3 linked regions of the Drosophila melanogaster genome follow. The protein of the gene in region 3 interacts with the protein of the main gene of each other region in a pairwise test. Each region holds a gene or a part of one and is shown on either strand. Other genes may lie near its edges.

Region 1 (4,899 bases), on a different chromosome or scaffold from region 3:
ACCATCGCGACGCTCCAAACGCACACGCACAGCGACCGTCGGTGCCGATAGCGATGAGGAGGATATTGAGCCACCACAGCCGGATGCTGGCGATTTGACGCGTCGCGAAACGCGTCGTTCTCTGCCCGCTCGCTCGGTCGCCATGCTGATGGCCAGCCCCTCCAGTGAGGAGCAGTCGGTGGCCACATCGACCACGGAGCCGGCCATCATTAGCGATGCCCGCCTGGGCGAGTTCAAGAACAATTTGCAGCGACTGTTTCGCGAGGCACGCGAACAGAGCTTGGCGCTGGCCAGGATCACCACGGCCATCAACGTTGGCAGCCAGGAGCCGTTCACCGCTGGCGAAATCGAGGCCGCCGTGCATCGCATGACCGAGGACAATCAGATCATGGTCGCCGACGATATAGTCTTTCTCATCTGATCGCGCATTCCAAGGAGCAACAATCGAACGAACGATTGCATCCATCAATCCATCCTTTATCCATCAACCATTCTAGCGCTTAAGTTGTCATTTTTGTTTTGTATTTATATAAAAAAAAAAATAAACACTTTGGAACTCCCATTGCAATCCACGGAATATGTACGTTGGCATAAGGAAAGGCTGCAGCTGTTGGCTAATGTATTATAGTTAACTTATATTTGACATAAACAATTTAAGCGATATACACACAAAGTTGCACAACGGTTTTAAAAGAAACAAACTGAAGGTATAACCAACTGGCTTCACAACTCCCATTCACAATCAGTAAAAAGCTGGAGAGGAAGGGACTGCAATGTTGTGGTTAGTGGTTTCAAGCTGCAGCCACATAGATATTATTGGCATGGTTTTCGACATTTTGAGACATGAGCATTGTTTTCGCATGGATGTGAAAATATGGAAGGGACACATCGATTACATTTAATACTTGACTTGTAGTTTGAACTAACAACATTCATCGCTTCGCTTGGATTCACTTTAGAATTAAACTAGACACAAATACGGCGACTAATCGCCGATTAAAATCTATTTACACTGATAAAGAGCACCGCCAGGCACAATCACACAATCACAGGATACTAGCAGACAGATGTGGAGCAGCCAAAGTGATAAGTGGCAGAAGAGAAGGAGGAGGACGAGGATTGAGCTACTACCATCAAAGATTCACCACATTCTTGAGATCCGGCGGCAGCAAGCCCTTCATGCACTCAATCTGGGCGCGTATCTGCTGCTGAGTTGAGCCATTGTTGCCCTCCAGCTGCGTGGCTTTGTCGCCATAGAGATTCAGTTTTTGCTTGAGCTTGAGTATCATATCGATGATCTCCACCTCCTGCTTGTCGTGCGCCCAGTGCTCGAGATTCGCCACGGATAGCGCCTGCAGCTGTAGATCCTGCAGCGTTAGCTGCAGCTCCCGATGACGTGCACCGTACCAGCCGCGAAAATTGGGCGATCGAAAGAAGCGTCTGTACAGGCCCTTCCAGTCGCCCTTCAGCGGCGACGTTAGCTGCGGCCCAGCGGTTTCCAGCGTGCCCAGAAAGTCATCCAGCTTAAAGCTGTTGGCATTCGGCGCCGACTTAAACGGACTGATGTCCTTTTGCAGCGGCATCAGTGATGCCATATACCGTTCCAGTGGTATCATAAAGCTTTGCGTCAGCTCGAGCAGATGGCGTCGTATCAGTGCGGTTTGCACATGCTCCGGCCGCTTGGTCTTCATGCCCAGCAGCACCTTTTTGATCAGCGCCTTGTCCTTTTTCAGGTACGGCCTATATTTACTGTGCAGGCCCGCGGACGAGGCATCGCCCGAGCCATTGCTGGAACTGGAGCTGCCATTGAGATTGGTGTTCGATTTCAGTGCTATACGGCCACCGAGTTCCGTTGAACTGGAAAATGATGTGGCCGATGCGATGTTCCTTGCGTGTTTTTGGCCCAGCAGCAGATGCTGTTGCTGCTGCATGTTCTTCTGAAAACGAGCAAGACGGATATATTTTGTATTGCGTTAACTGGGATTGGGACACTCACCTGGTTGTCCACCAGTCGCAGCATGTGCGGCCAATCCTTCAGGAGCTTCACAAAGAACGGATTCGTGACGCCCAAAATGCAGGCGGGCAGTGTGGTCTTGCTGCTGCACTCTTGTGTGAATTCGCGAAATTCGCTGTCGTGAATGGTGAAGTAGGGACGCGCCTCGGCGCAATACTCCAGCGGAGCAATCATGGCCAGAAGGGTCTGCACCATGTGGGAGCAGTCGGCGGGTGAGGTGCCAACGACAACAATGGGCTCGGCGGTGATGACCAGCTCCCACAGCGTGTACAGTTGCTCCATGACAAAGTCCAGGGAGCGGAAGAGTTCGATTTCATTAACGGAGGCCAGCACTTTGGCTGCCGGGCAAGCAGCCATGGCTGGTGGCGATTCCACCGCACCACCTGCGATGCCTCCATCGGCCGTCGACTTTCGACTGCTGCTGGTCCGCGGTATGCAGATCTGATAGCTGCAATCCAGCAGAGGCAGCTGGAGCGGCTTACCCACTCGCAGGCCGGGCCACTGGCGATTAATTTGCTCGCTGGCCAGACGCAGGACGTCGGTGCCCTCCTCAAAGTAGCGCGGCGCCAGCTGGGAGAGTATGTCGTAGTACAGATTGAAGAACGGCAGTCGTGTAATGATTATAAAGCTCTTCTGGAAGTAACCACGCGGCAGATTCGCGTCCCGCTTCTGGCGAAAGTAGACGAAGCCCCAGTAGTGGGAGCCATCCTGTCGCAGCGCCGGCGAGCATTCCGCATTGTAGCCCGGCAAGGAATCCCGACGCGTTGTGCAGCGCAATCGCATGTGGAACTTGGTGTCGCCCATGCAGCCGGAATTTGAGTCCGGGAAGGCCATGTAGCAAATGTTGCTAACCTCCTGGTCGCTGGGCATGAAAGCCGGCGGATAGACGTGCTCCAGCGCCTGCCCAAGATTTAGATCGAAGGTGACCACGCAGAAGCAGTGCATCCATTGCGAGAAGTTCACCCAATCGCTGGCACTGGGCTCCGAGTTCGAGTTGGTGGCATCCACGTTCTGGTGCTCCCTCTCCCGTTCGGTGGTGTCCAGCGATGGCGCCATCTGCTTGATTCTCGCATCCGCGCTCATTCTGTATTTTGTTGATATTTATTTATTTATTTGCCAGCGACATTGACAAGGGGAATCAGGGAAGGGCGATAGTTGTTCACTGCTTGCAGTTACCGTTATTATCGCCAGTCACCATTTAATGCGATAGTATTTGCTAATAAACAATCATTTGTTTTTAAATATAATAAATTAGCGCAGTCATACTGTTCGTTAGCTTTTCTTAACGGTTTGTTATTATTTTTATATATTACTAAATATTTATCTTGTTTCTTGTCACCGTTTGCAATCACTGCTCATCTCTATGTGCAAATTTATCATTTCAAAACTTTCACCTTTTTTTTGCTTTTCACCAGCGCTGCCACTTTGGCGATTTAATCTCTTGAATAATATAATATAATATAATGAATATAATGAATAATATAATATAATATAATTATAATAACCTTTGCAAACAAAACAGATCTTTAGCATTTTCTTAATAAACGTAATGAAATAAAGTTGAATTGAAGTGACCAGTGTTGGTTAACCAATTAACTAGCTAGTATTTTGATATGGTGACGAAGAGACCATATTTAGCGATATCCAGCTAGGCTGTCAGCACAGCTAGTGATGGGCAATTAGTGCACACAATACAGGTTTTATTTTTGAAATAGTTGGTTAAGCAAAATCAGCATAATTCACCGCCCATCATCAAAAGATAAAAGAAATAAACAAACATTCTAGCGCACATGGCAACACATGCAACCGACGCAATTCCCTTTCGACAATCAGTTTAATCGCAGGCGCAACTGTCGGCAAAGCAATTTGCCGCAAAATCATCGGCGTCTCAGTGTAAATTCATGCGACTTGCGAAATGCCAATTGCGCTTTTCAAGTCCGTACGCGAAGTGAGCAGCGAAGATGCGGTGAGTAATGCTCCTATATAACAAATGTACATCTATATAACTATGCAATCCCGCTGGCCAGGTGCACGTAGCGGCGAATCTGCTCAAGGAAAACGCCGGCAAGAAGTGGCGAACCAAGGCGCCGGGAGAGAAATCCGCATACGTTGTGCTGGAGTTCGAGGAGCCGCAACAGATTACGGGCATCGATATTGGCAACGAACATGCCGCCTTCATCGAGGTGCTGGTCAGTCGAACAGGCTGCCAGGCGGACGATTTCCGCGAGCTGCTGCTATCCAGTTCGTTTATGACGCCCATCGAGAGCAAGAATTCCAGCAATCCAAATCGCGTTCGCTGTTTCAGTAGCACTTCGCTGGCGGAGAGTGCACTGCCGGAGAAGTGGAAGCTGCTTCAGATAGTCTGCACACAGCCCTTCAATCGTCATGTGCCATACGGGCTCTCATTCGTCAAGGTGCATGTAGTGGCTGCTGCGGCGCCTAAGGTCAAATCCCTAGTGCCGCAGGGTGTTATGCAATTCGGGACCTTTAAGCTGCGCGAGGAGTCGCCGGACTCGGAAACGGACAATCAAGTGAACAGATTTCACAGCTGGAAGAAGCAGACGCAGCACAAGTCGCCCGCGATCAGTGCGACCTCCACAGCAGCGGCCATTCGGGACGCCGGCTCCACGGCCCTGCGAAGGCTGAGCGCTGGCAAGGTTTCTAGCCTGGCTGCATCGCCCAAAACCTCGACGTCGCCATCACCAGTTCTCAATGCTCTGCGATCGGTTTCTCCGACGCCATTGGATGCCAAGCCCCTGGATCGCAATCGAGCTTCACTCTTGTTCGGCGACGATGATGAGGACGTGAAGGACGCTGAGGTCAATGCAAAGAAACAACGGCTGAGCAAGCATCTGGAGGCGGACAAGGATCGACGGCGATTGGAG
Region 2 (4,807 bases), on a different chromosome or scaffold from region 3:
CATAAAAACCCAGCCAAACGAAACTAACAAACAAAAATGCGGAGTGGCAGCCACGAATTAGTGCTCCTGGCGGCATTTATACCCCTGCAATCGAAGAAAATGTGGCACCTGTGCGCCGTCTTGGCATCTGTGCCTCCAGTTTTCCCCCGTATCTGTATCTGTATCTGTGTACTTGTATCTGTATCTCACGGAATGGTGGCTATGTCTTTTGTGCGCCGCCTTCGGTTGGCGAGCCAAACAAATAAACTTGCGGCCAAGTTATGACAGTCGAGGGCCGCAGGAAACATTATTCTTAGTTAGATGCTAATTAATTAGGGGACGCGGAGGAGTTGGAGTCTCCGCCAGCAATTCGGTGGCAGCCATGTGGGCAGCGACACGATCTCGTCGAACCAGCGGCAAAAAAAAAGCCCGAAATGCACACGAGAATGACACTTCTTGGGTATAAATTTTGTTGACTGTTGTGTTTGCCAGCCCCTGAAAAATGACCTGGGGGATGCGATGTGTACAGAATGAGGTTAAATGGAAGTTGAATTCGTTGAAGAAGACACTAATATAAATTGCCGCACGTCGGTGGAATTTTACTTATTTAAAGAAGAAATATACCTTGGCATTTCAAATTAAACTTAAATAGTTCAAATGCGACTAGCTGGCTGTTATATTGCCATCGGATTTAATGGTCTAATTAGACATTTTATTATTTATTTTTGACATTGCATGAATGGGCTTTGTTTAGATTTTAATGAAAACAAAGTTTAATCAATGCTGTTTAAATGGATCCTTATTAAAATTGCAGAAGAACATGGTAAATATTGTTGCCCCATTTCCATCGTAATCCCAGCTGACAAAAGAAAATATTTTCCCCCCAAAAATTGAGATACACATTTTCATTTCGTTGGTAGATGGTTGCAGGTAAATGAAAGAGATGTGTGTTTATGTACAAAATAAATTCATAATAATTCCCATGAATTTCCAAGCTGCACACTTTGTATATTTATAAATATAGTTTTATACACCTTTTTTAATTCCACAAACATATTTCACATTTTATTCAACGCAACGTTTGAATGAATAACGTATTTTTCGGATTCAGTGGCAATGAAATAAAACTAGCGATTATTGCATTTCATAATTTCATTGCTAATCAATTTTATCACTTTGCTGTCTTAGTATTTTAGTTAGATTTGAATAAAATATTGAATACAACCTGTTAATGGTAGCTATGTGGATGCATCTATGAACTTCGGTGCTTTAAATTCTTTCACGCACATCGAATTATGGGTTTTAGGCGCAGTTTAAAGCAGATTGGGCAAATCTGCGGCAAATCTGTTGTTCATTGGAGGCATACTCAAACGTCTCATTACCATAATATAGCCAACTCAATTCCGCCTGGGCCCACCAACTTTTTCTACAATGGCAATAAAGAGTTCCCCTCGCAATCGACCACGAAAAGTTTTTTCAGCGGTATTATCATAATGATTGCGCCCCAAACGGCGCTTGGGGCAGATTGAGGGACTCGCCCGCCTGCTGCCAACTTGTTTACACAAATTTTAATTGGTGTAATTATGATTTTTACACGAAATTAATTATGCATGCGCGATTGCGGCTGCATCTTCGCAGCTCGCGGTAATCGCTACCCATCGGATGCCCAATCTCAATCTTAAATTTCTAAACCATCCCAAGTGAGCAAGAAAAATAACTCGAGTTATTTACAAAAGCTGATGATTGCGGGGGGAAAAAGCGAAAGCGAGGTCTCTGGAACTTTAATTGCCAAACATACTTCTACTTAATTACCCCGCAGAACAGCGGGAAAATTATGAAATCCAGGGGCCTCGTTGCGCGTCTAGCGGAGTGTGAAGTTGCCAAAGACTCGAGGTTGAGGTTGTACTGCGGAATATCTAGATACATAACTGCATCTGCGAGATAAGAATCTGTGTGCAACAGCCGTCGGAGGCACAAAGTGTTCGGAGAAAGATCTTTCTTTAGGAGATAAGGGCAGTATCTTAGCGTTTTACGACCTGCCGCCGCTTTTCTTCTTCGCTTCTTATTTATAAAATACAGCAGGTTAGTTTGATTAGCCCCAGATGTTGACAGCTTGGCTCTTTCTTAATTTGTGTTTAATTAATGAGGCAAGGGGACAGCCACCGTAAGAAATGGGGAGAACGGGTTGGAAATGATATCTTTTGATCTCTGGAATGCGCCTTGATGAGATACATTTGATTGGGCCAATATTCTTCTGGTTTCTTTTCGGATAAATGAATTATTTAGTTAGTAATTGACATAAACTTGTTTTTGTCGCACTAATTGATTGTTTGCAACTCAATATTTATTTATGCATTGCAAAGTCTCTATGGGGAAATCCTGTTTATTGACATGATTGCTTTGAGCATTGAGCACTGATTGTTTTCAAGTTAGGCCTTTCTTCACTCTCAACTCACCTAAATATTCCAAGAGTTTTGAATTAGCCTTTGCGTTGACTTAAGGTGTATATTGATTGTATTCCGTTTGCACTTTAGTTTGTAGCAAAAAACAACGATTTCTCTACTAAAATTTCAAGCACTGTTGTTCACTGGGGCAGCAAAAGATACTCTATCTGCTGGTTTGTTTCGATATGTTTGAGCACTCCGTGGGCATTTTCTCAGGTAGCACATTTCACACACTTTGCCGCACGCTGCTGGCGGCCGCAGGTGCACAATTGCCGCATCTTGGGTGCCACTTGCACCGTATCTTATTCCTGACCAATTCGTATCTCTGCACTCGCGCTGCGCGGATTGCGTATCCGTATCTGTCGGATCTCTTGGCGATTGGCTGCCAGCCGATTAAGCCTGAGATGGGTAACTGCGTTGATTCGCGACCGCGTTGCCAGTGGCCAAGGCGTTCTGTTCTTCTTGTCACGAGAGCTGGATTGAGACTGGGGGCACAAACTGAGACTGAGACGGCGGACTGCGACAGCGACTGCGACTCTTGTAACGCGCGGCACGAAGGTCGACGAGCGATTGAATCCGATTGAATGTAACGTGCAGCGCACCACTCCGTTGCATGTAAGTGTGGATGCTAAGAGAGCGAGCGCTTCTCTTTTGTGGACTCTGTTCGCTCGTCGGTGGAACTGTTTACAAAGTTTATGTGTGGAGAGCGCTGTAAAGGACCTGCAAGGATTTATATTATCAAATTAACATTTAAATCATAATTTGGAGTTGTTTCTATGTTTTTGTTTCCTTAAAACTTATCATTTAAGCTACAGTATAGTTTATATTGTATATGCTGCGCTAAAAACTAAGTTTTTCAATTCTCAGTAAAATTATCCACAATGGAGTTGAATTTACCTGCCCAGGCCCAGGCACTTCACCTGTGCTCTGTGAAAATCGCCGAGAAACTCCAAATCCGATAGAGTTTTTCCGCTCTCTTCCGGCTCGTATAAGAGATTTCCGTCTGCGGCGAATGTGGAACAAAACAAGAGCGAATTCGAACTGTTGATTTGTTTTTACCCTCCCCGACTTTTCCTTTCGCTCGCTTTTTCCGGCGAATCCGCCTTGCAGTCCAAATTGGAAATGGCGGACCGCCGCCAATCGCGGCCTCTGATGAATTTCCAATGATTGACGCCGGCATTAAGCCGAAATCGCACATACAACTTGTCATAATTTCCAGCAGAGAAATGCGATCTTGTCACATTGGTGCACCATATCATATGGACATGTATGATTTACGAACTCTACGGTTTTCGTGGGGCATGGGGATTTATAGCTACGCACTTGTAGATTGTATCGCAGAGGTTGTGGGTTGATTGATTGGTCTCACCAGTTGATCCGACCCTTTGTTCTTCGCCACTTTCGAATGTTTGACTCGGTGACACAATTTCGAGGGGCCCACAACGAATTCCTCGAGTGGATCGCCGCTAATCAACTGATATCGCTCCGGGCCAGATCGCCTATCGAAAAGCGAACAGCGTTTGGAAAGGCGTTATCTGGAAACCGTAACCAATTTGTATCATATATGGTGACTGTTTATGAAAGCAGTACTTCTTCTGTCTCTTTGTCTGTTTTCTTAGTTAAAAAAAAAAAACATGTTTTTTGTCTTCTATTTTATGATTACAGACACCCAGAAAGCTATGAATTGGATATTAATTTAAAAATATATACAAATATTCTGCAAGATTAATGTAAATGTTATTGACAGGACAACTCCAGCAAATCAAACATTCTGTCTTGTAGTCAATTTAACTTTGTACGTAGTTTTATTCGATAGACTCTTTGCATGTTCCTATCAATTGGCCATTTGTCACATCCGAGTGTACAAACAAACAGCAGACAGCAGAAGCATTGCCAACTTCCAACCATAACTCATACCCATTCCGGCCAAAGCCGTTGGGCATGCGCTGTCTGTCAAACGGCTTGTTCGCCTGCCCGGCAGTCAAAGAAATCAGCGGACGAGCGGATGAGCGGCGGCCAAATGGTTATGATCAGGAATTTACACAAAAATGCATTCAGCGCTGCTAATAGATATACAAAATACATACATAGATAGAACAAGCAAATGTTGCGTTATCACGAGTAAATATTTACATAGCCTTCAAGGACTCTGTGAATACATCAACCCCATGCTGCGATACTGGCATAGTATCTTTTGCCACATTTGTTTATTGTCCCAGACCTTTCCCACTCCATAAAGTATTTATAGATACTGACATTCTCGATGGACTGCTTTCGAAGATTAAAAATTCTATCAGATACCCATTACTGTATTTTATCTATTGTGCAAGAACGATAGCTGTTGACACGACGGTTGATCCTGATGAAGAATTCATTCCAATGCA
Region 3 (6,146 bases):
TAAATTGCTGCCCCCGGAGTGTGTCCGATGGCAACCAACTCAAGTTGAAATTGGTCAAAAGTTTAACATATTTGCGTGTGTGTGTCCAAGTGGCGCACGGGTATGATGGGGGGGTAGAGCAGTTGGTCGTTCCGGTCGTTTTTGGCGCATTTTCGGGGAATAAACGACCCCGCAGCATATACGCTTTTGTTTTTGTCGAGTGGCCTGCTCCCAGCAATTTTGGAATTTTGGAATTTAAGTACGCAAACGGGCAGCTCAAGCGTTTAATCGTTTAATAAAAGTAAACAAAAAATTGGCGCTTACTTGAATAAAGTTAAAAACTTCATTTGGGTTTCAAATTATAAAAGTAATCAACTTCACTATACATAATTCAACAATAACTCTTATAAAAACTAAATAATAATAGTAATAATAAATAATAATAATAATAATAATAATAATAAACAATAAGACTAACAATAAATAATAATGAGTATTTCAACAATTAATAAAGCTCTTCCTTTAGATGCATAAAATATATTTACTGCTAGTTAACATTACACATTCAAAGTAATTCATATTTCGATTTCATTTCAATATTTGACTAAACTTTAACTATCAGATTTAGTTTATCTACGAACTAAGCTTGTGCTTCAGAGTAGAGGTACAGAATTGTTGCACGAGTATGTATTAGATAATCTCATAAGGAACGTATTACGACTAAGGCCTCGAGGCGAAAGGCAGCGCCTAAGATCTACCGCAGCATTGCAGGGTAAGTAATGGTTATATCGTTACTTCGATATCCGACAGCGCACTGGATAACAATCTAATCGGGTTAATACAAAGGCGTCGCACAACCGTAGGAAAGCTTTGACTAGCACTTTGAGATTCGAGTAAATGACTAAATAGATTTCAACGTGGGTAGGCGGCCATTAGGAAGCCTAGCTTTGGTTAGCATCTCAGTAGTTTACTGCAACACACAAACGGCGGAGGCGCCGCTATATTGGTTATTCAAGCGTCGACGCATTCCCTCCAGATAAATGTCGCGACTGAAGAGCCCAGCAGCCAAGGGAATTCTGAAGAAAAAGGAAAGTTCATTAGAATCCTATTTTCTTTGTAATAATTCCAATTACTCACGCATCGGTTCCTGCACGTATGAGTGTTCGAAAAAGCGCCCAAACTGGCTTGTGGTCCGAGGTGGTTATCGATGGCACCGAGTCATAGAGCAGACATTGGACATGCGGCTGCGTGGGTGTGGATACACCAGGCACTAGGGTCTGCCGACGGATGACTAGTCCCTGCATTTGGCGGTACTTGTAGAGAATGCGATCCGTGTAGGCGGGAGCTCGCTGCTTCGACGAGGTATCAAAGTTCTGGCTGCCCGGATCGTACTTGTACGTGGGTGGAAATGTGATGTTCGCCTCCATAAATCCTCGGAAGGCGGCGCCATCAGCCAGAACGGAAGTCAACTGATCCGTGTGCATGTAACCGTGCGGTAAATGCGACGGCAGCGGGAACTTGGTGTTCTGAATCCATTCCAGCAGCTTTTCACGCGGCTCACCCAGTCGAAAGTTAAGATCGCCGCACCAGAAGACATTGTCAAAGTTCTGCGTGACATCTTTGTTCTTATGCCGCTGATTGGGCAAATTGCGAGGCAAGTCCAGAGCATTGATTATCCGCTTAACGTCCGACACACGCTCTTTAACCTTCTGCTGGTGCGCCGTTAAATGCGAGGTCACAAACAGCATGGAAGTGCCAAACAGGCAAAAGGATATGGCCACGGCACCCTTTGTCCGAAAGGCGGAGCCCGTGCGCACCGACATAGATGCGTCCTCGGGAACGGAGCAGTACCAGATCAAGTCCCGTCGCATATACACAGCCAGGTGGAGGGTACCCAGAGTTGTGGCATGGAAGAGCACGTGAGAGGGACCTAGGGTCTCCTGAATGGTGACCTCCCACTCGAAGCGGTCTGGGGTGGACTCCTGTGTGCCCATTACCACAATGTCGGGCACGTGCTCCACATTGGCTGGCAGCACAAAATCATTAAGTTGTCTGCAATAAAAAGAATAATTGAGATATGAACTCATAAGCTTTTAGACTTAATTTATTAAATTTACATACTTGGGTGGACTGTGGCCATTCATATTCCAAGTTCCCACAAAGACGGTAATCTCCTTTTGCGGCAGCACGCGGCTTAGCTCACTGGGACCCAAAAGGGAAGTTGATCCCAGCCTGCCATCCAGGTAACTTCGCTCCCTGGCGTTATCCGCCGGGATCAGATTCAATGCATGTGCCGCCATTAAAGTCTGGCGAGCCAGATTAGATCCCGAACCCTGTCTTTGGAGTGTCATGTTCTCGTGCGACATAAACCTCACGCCTGGCTGCTCCTCTATGTGTTCTATTCCATCTGGCTGAGTGGCTATATTCGGCGAGGACATGTGCTGTGGTGTGGTGGCTCTTTTAATGTCACCAGGTTCTGTGGCTGCCTGAAGAGGGGGTAACTCTTGTCCAGGTGGATAGAGCTTTAAACGCAGTCGGGATCGGCAGGCTGATACTGCCATGGGTCGAATGGGCGAGCGATTTTGAAGGCTTTCGCTCCGTGCCACCGAAGCGCTGGCCGCAGCAGGGCTGCAGTGGGCAAAGAAGGTTTTGCTGGCCACCGGTGATTCTGGCGCACTGGCACACTCACTGGACGGACGCGGTCGGTGTGAGGATCCTTCGCTGGAGTGCAGCGAGCCCGAGTTGTTGTCCACCATGCTCCAACTTAGCGAGAGGTTATCGCGCCGCAGAACACTGTTGCTATCCGGTATGGAGTTATAACGCACGGTCACCGGCGGTGTCATCGGTTTCTTTTCCGCCTTGCAGCACAGACTGAACTGGTGACTAAATCTATTGTGATTGGGTGAGCGATGCTTGGGCGACTTGCGCCGCATCACCACGTCGGCTCCTCCATCGCTTTGGGAACCAGCATCCGTACTGTGCCGGTGCGAGTGATTCTTTCCTTTCGAGGAACTTGGCTTTGCACGCCTGTGGAAGCTGATCAGCCCGCTGTGCGACTTCTCCAGCGGCAGCGTTTGGCTTTTGAGGGTGCTCCCATTGTTATTGACATGGTTTGCAGACGTATCTGCATTGCACTTGGCGAAACTGACATCGTATTGGCCACAGGCGGACACGGGTCTCTGTTGTAATCTTGGCGATTCGGGTGTCACGGGATGTGGCTCCACCTTACTAGGTCGCTTGCTCAGCAAACCGAACAGGGAGCTCGCGGTCTTGTGACCGGATCTGGGACTGCTGGTGGAACTGGTTATCCGTTCCTCACTTCCCGCGCTGCTGTGCTGCATGTTGGCTTTAGTCCGAACGAAATGATTCTATCATCTAAGGTGAAGGTGCTAAGTGGTTATCATGCCCCCCTTTTGTCAAGTTAATTCGCTCTATCTGCCGGATCTCTCGAACCGAGCTCATTGTGCGATGGCCTCTGGCTGCCGGCCATATAAATAGTAAAGCCAGACGTCATCGAGCGAGCACAATGCAAATGCGACTTTGGTCCGGCGTTCTGGCTGGTCGCAATGCAAATTATTTTGGGCTCGGCGATGACGTACACGAAATCAGGCTAATTGGGCTGACTGGCGGCGATTGCGTGTGCTGTTCTGTAAGATTTTAATGAAGGTAAACATTTAGGCGGGTTGGTAATACCAAGGGTATAATACACTTACTAACCTGCAAGCAACTAAATAAAAAAAACACATATGTGGGCAGATCCTTTGGGGCGAGAGAGCTGAAAGGATTCAGAAAATCAATATGCTGGGTAATAACTGTGGCGACACCGTCGCGATATATAAAATGGGGAGGATTGTGGGCGATTTGGGGGGTGGTTGGTCGCGGAAGGGTGGTCTTTGGCGACGACGTAACAACATTGGCATGCTGCGGCGCCCACGCATCCAAGCACTGAGCACTCAGCATCTGAACGTCTGAACACAAGCACAATATCCGTCGTCTGCTGGCTGATTCGATTCTCTGGGATCGAGAGATTTATAATTAGCAGACCATTGTTCCCGTCAGCGCAGCCTTGTTGTTCTTGTGTTGTTGGCCTACGTCTAGCATAAAAGCAGCAACAATAGCACATAGCACACATGCGATATTCAAGTTCAGGTTCAGGTGCGCATTGATTTCGCTCTTGGTGTGCTTTTCATGTTCCGCACTGGTACGCACTACCCTTCCACGCTGCTGTCACCTATGCGATTTATGTAATTTTTGTATGATTTACCGCGTTCCAATGTTGTTTACACCCAAAAACTCCGAGCAAGTGCGGAACTTGTCGTGGGAACTGCGATTTAGGGGTGGCAAAAGTGGGCAGCCAACTGCCGATAAGTGGGAGCACGTATCGATAGGTGCGGGCGGGGGTGTTTCAGTGGCTGGGTTGTGACACGATAGATTTAAAGAAATATTTCTTAAATATTAATTAAGATTTGTATTTAATTGTGTTTCCAGCAAAACGTACCAATGTAATATTTATTAGGTAAACATACATAACAAAGCGCTATATATTCAATACAAAATTGTGGGCCAAGTACCCTTCAAAAATTTATTAAGAGGAATTTATAACATTATTATTAAATGTACTTTATTATTTTTTACAATTATTTAATAAACCGTTTCTTATATTAAAAAAAATAATAAGGTTTAATTAACTGTATTATACAGCCACACTAGAAGTGCAATCGAAATCGACTTGCTATCGGTGCTCGTAAGGCGCATCACTAGTATTTCGTTTCGGTCGGTACGCGGTTCAGCGTTTTTGTTCAACGGATTAGCGCAAGTTAAGCACGATGGCGGCCCAGACGATACTGTTTGATTTCACGCTGGACAAGGACAAGACGGCGGATGAGGAGGCGCGCCTCCAGGTGGCCAAAATCCTGCGTAACGAGCTGGAGCAGCTGTTCCCCCAGCTGGAGCTGGCCTACTCGATGGAGTCGCCGGAAAACGGCTACTTTGCGGTGCTGCACGAGAACAAGGACACGGTGATTACCTGCCGCATCTTCCAGCACGGCCTGCTGACGCTCAACGTGGAGTACTTCCTGCCCGATGGCAAGGAGCCGAGCATATCCTTCGACGTACGTATTCAGTGCAATTTAGATTCCTTTAAAAAACTCAAAAAACAAGCAAGCAAACACCCGACAGCAGCACCACCACCCACATCTTTCTTACCCTCCCAGTTTCCGTGTCTCGGCTGATTAGTTGGGGAAAGGGTTTTCCACCCACCGGGTAAAATTGATTTTCCGCGCACTTGTACCCGAGTGTTGTTGCTTCATCATACATACATGTGGGGGTGTGTGCATGGCAAGTGGGCAACCATGTGGGTGGGTTGATTGGTTGTGTGTGTGAGTGTGTTCCTGACCACTCGGCGAGCTCAAATGGCCGGCACTTGGTCAGGGTCAGTTCGTCCGTCCTTGGCCTCAAGTGATGGCTGCCCCCATCCCAGCACTTTCACCAGTTTCTATTATCTAACACCTCTGAAGCACACATCACATACATAGCGATTTCAGCTGGGCTTTGCTAGGTTAACTTGTCGTTCCGGTCCCGTTTCTATGCTTTTCACATTTGGCCGGAGCACGTGGGTTGGGTTCGACTCGCGATCTATTGATTGGCGCCCCTTTGGGGCATGGTACCCATACTAATAAGAAGAAAAACACCCGGAATATGCGGCCCTTATTACAGAAACCAGATTTCAGGTTACACCCTTAGGCACGCATTATTTCATTTGATACTTAAACTTTCTTATACCAGTTTACTCTACTTACGCATGCACATATAAACAAACCTAAGTCAACAAAATGACTGTTGATACCACAAATCTGAGGGTTTTCAAAATGACAACCAGTATTTGTTTGTAAAACAACAAAGAATATAAAATTTGATAGAATATTTCAATTTCTTCCATCATTTGTTTAAGTACATCTAAAATGCTAGAGAAAATGTCCCATGTACATATGCCTACAGCTACGGTAAGCTAAATAGCATCAAAAAAATTAAATTATGTCAAAAAGTCTAAAATTGTTTTGTTCTATAACTATAGCTTTAACAAAATCCCAAGTAAAATTTTTATAAAATTATATTTTTATACAATGATGGAGTTAGTTAGGATATAATCTCAACAAACCTTTGTACTT

The links. The genes of interacting proteins can lie anywhere in the genome.
Region 1: the proteins of INPP5E (region 3) and CG3309 interact in a two-hybrid assay, tested with the Drosophila melanogaster proteins (one large-scale study listed by BioGRID).
Region 2: the proteins of INPP5E (region 3) and smal interact in a two-hybrid assay, tested with the Drosophila melanogaster proteins (one large-scale study listed by BioGRID).

Annotation. Positions count from the first base shown.
Region 1 is NC_004354.4:5,326,173-5,331,071, forward strand, and holds CG3309 (uncharacterized protein), read right to left. Parts: upstream 3,176-4,899; 5' UTR 3,098-3,175; coding exon 1,997-3,097; intron 1,938-1,996; coding exon 1,134-1,937; 3' UTR 503-1,133; downstream 1-502. Other genes in the region: Mcm3 (minichromosome maintenance 3), read left to right, coding at 1-421; XRCC1, read left to right, coding at 3,930-3,980, 4,042-4,899.
Region 2 is NT_033779.5:6,177,328-6,182,134, reverse strand, and holds the start of smal (smoke alarm), read right to left. Parts: upstream 3,003-4,807; 5' UTR 2,436-3,002; intron 1-2,435.
Region 3 is NT_037436.4:12,275,834-12,281,979, reverse strand, and holds INPP5E (inositol polyphosphate 5-phosphatase E), read right to left. Parts: upstream 4,326-6,146; 5' UTR 4,244-4,325; intron 3,755-4,243; 5' UTR 3,697-3,754; intron 3,627-3,696; 5' UTR 3,321-3,626; coding exon 2,101-3,320; intron 2,032-2,100; coding exon 1,117-2,031; intron 1,056-1,116; coding exon 947-1,055; 3' UTR 504-946; downstream 1-503. Other genes in the region: Sms (spermine synthase), read left to right, coding at 4,806-5,090.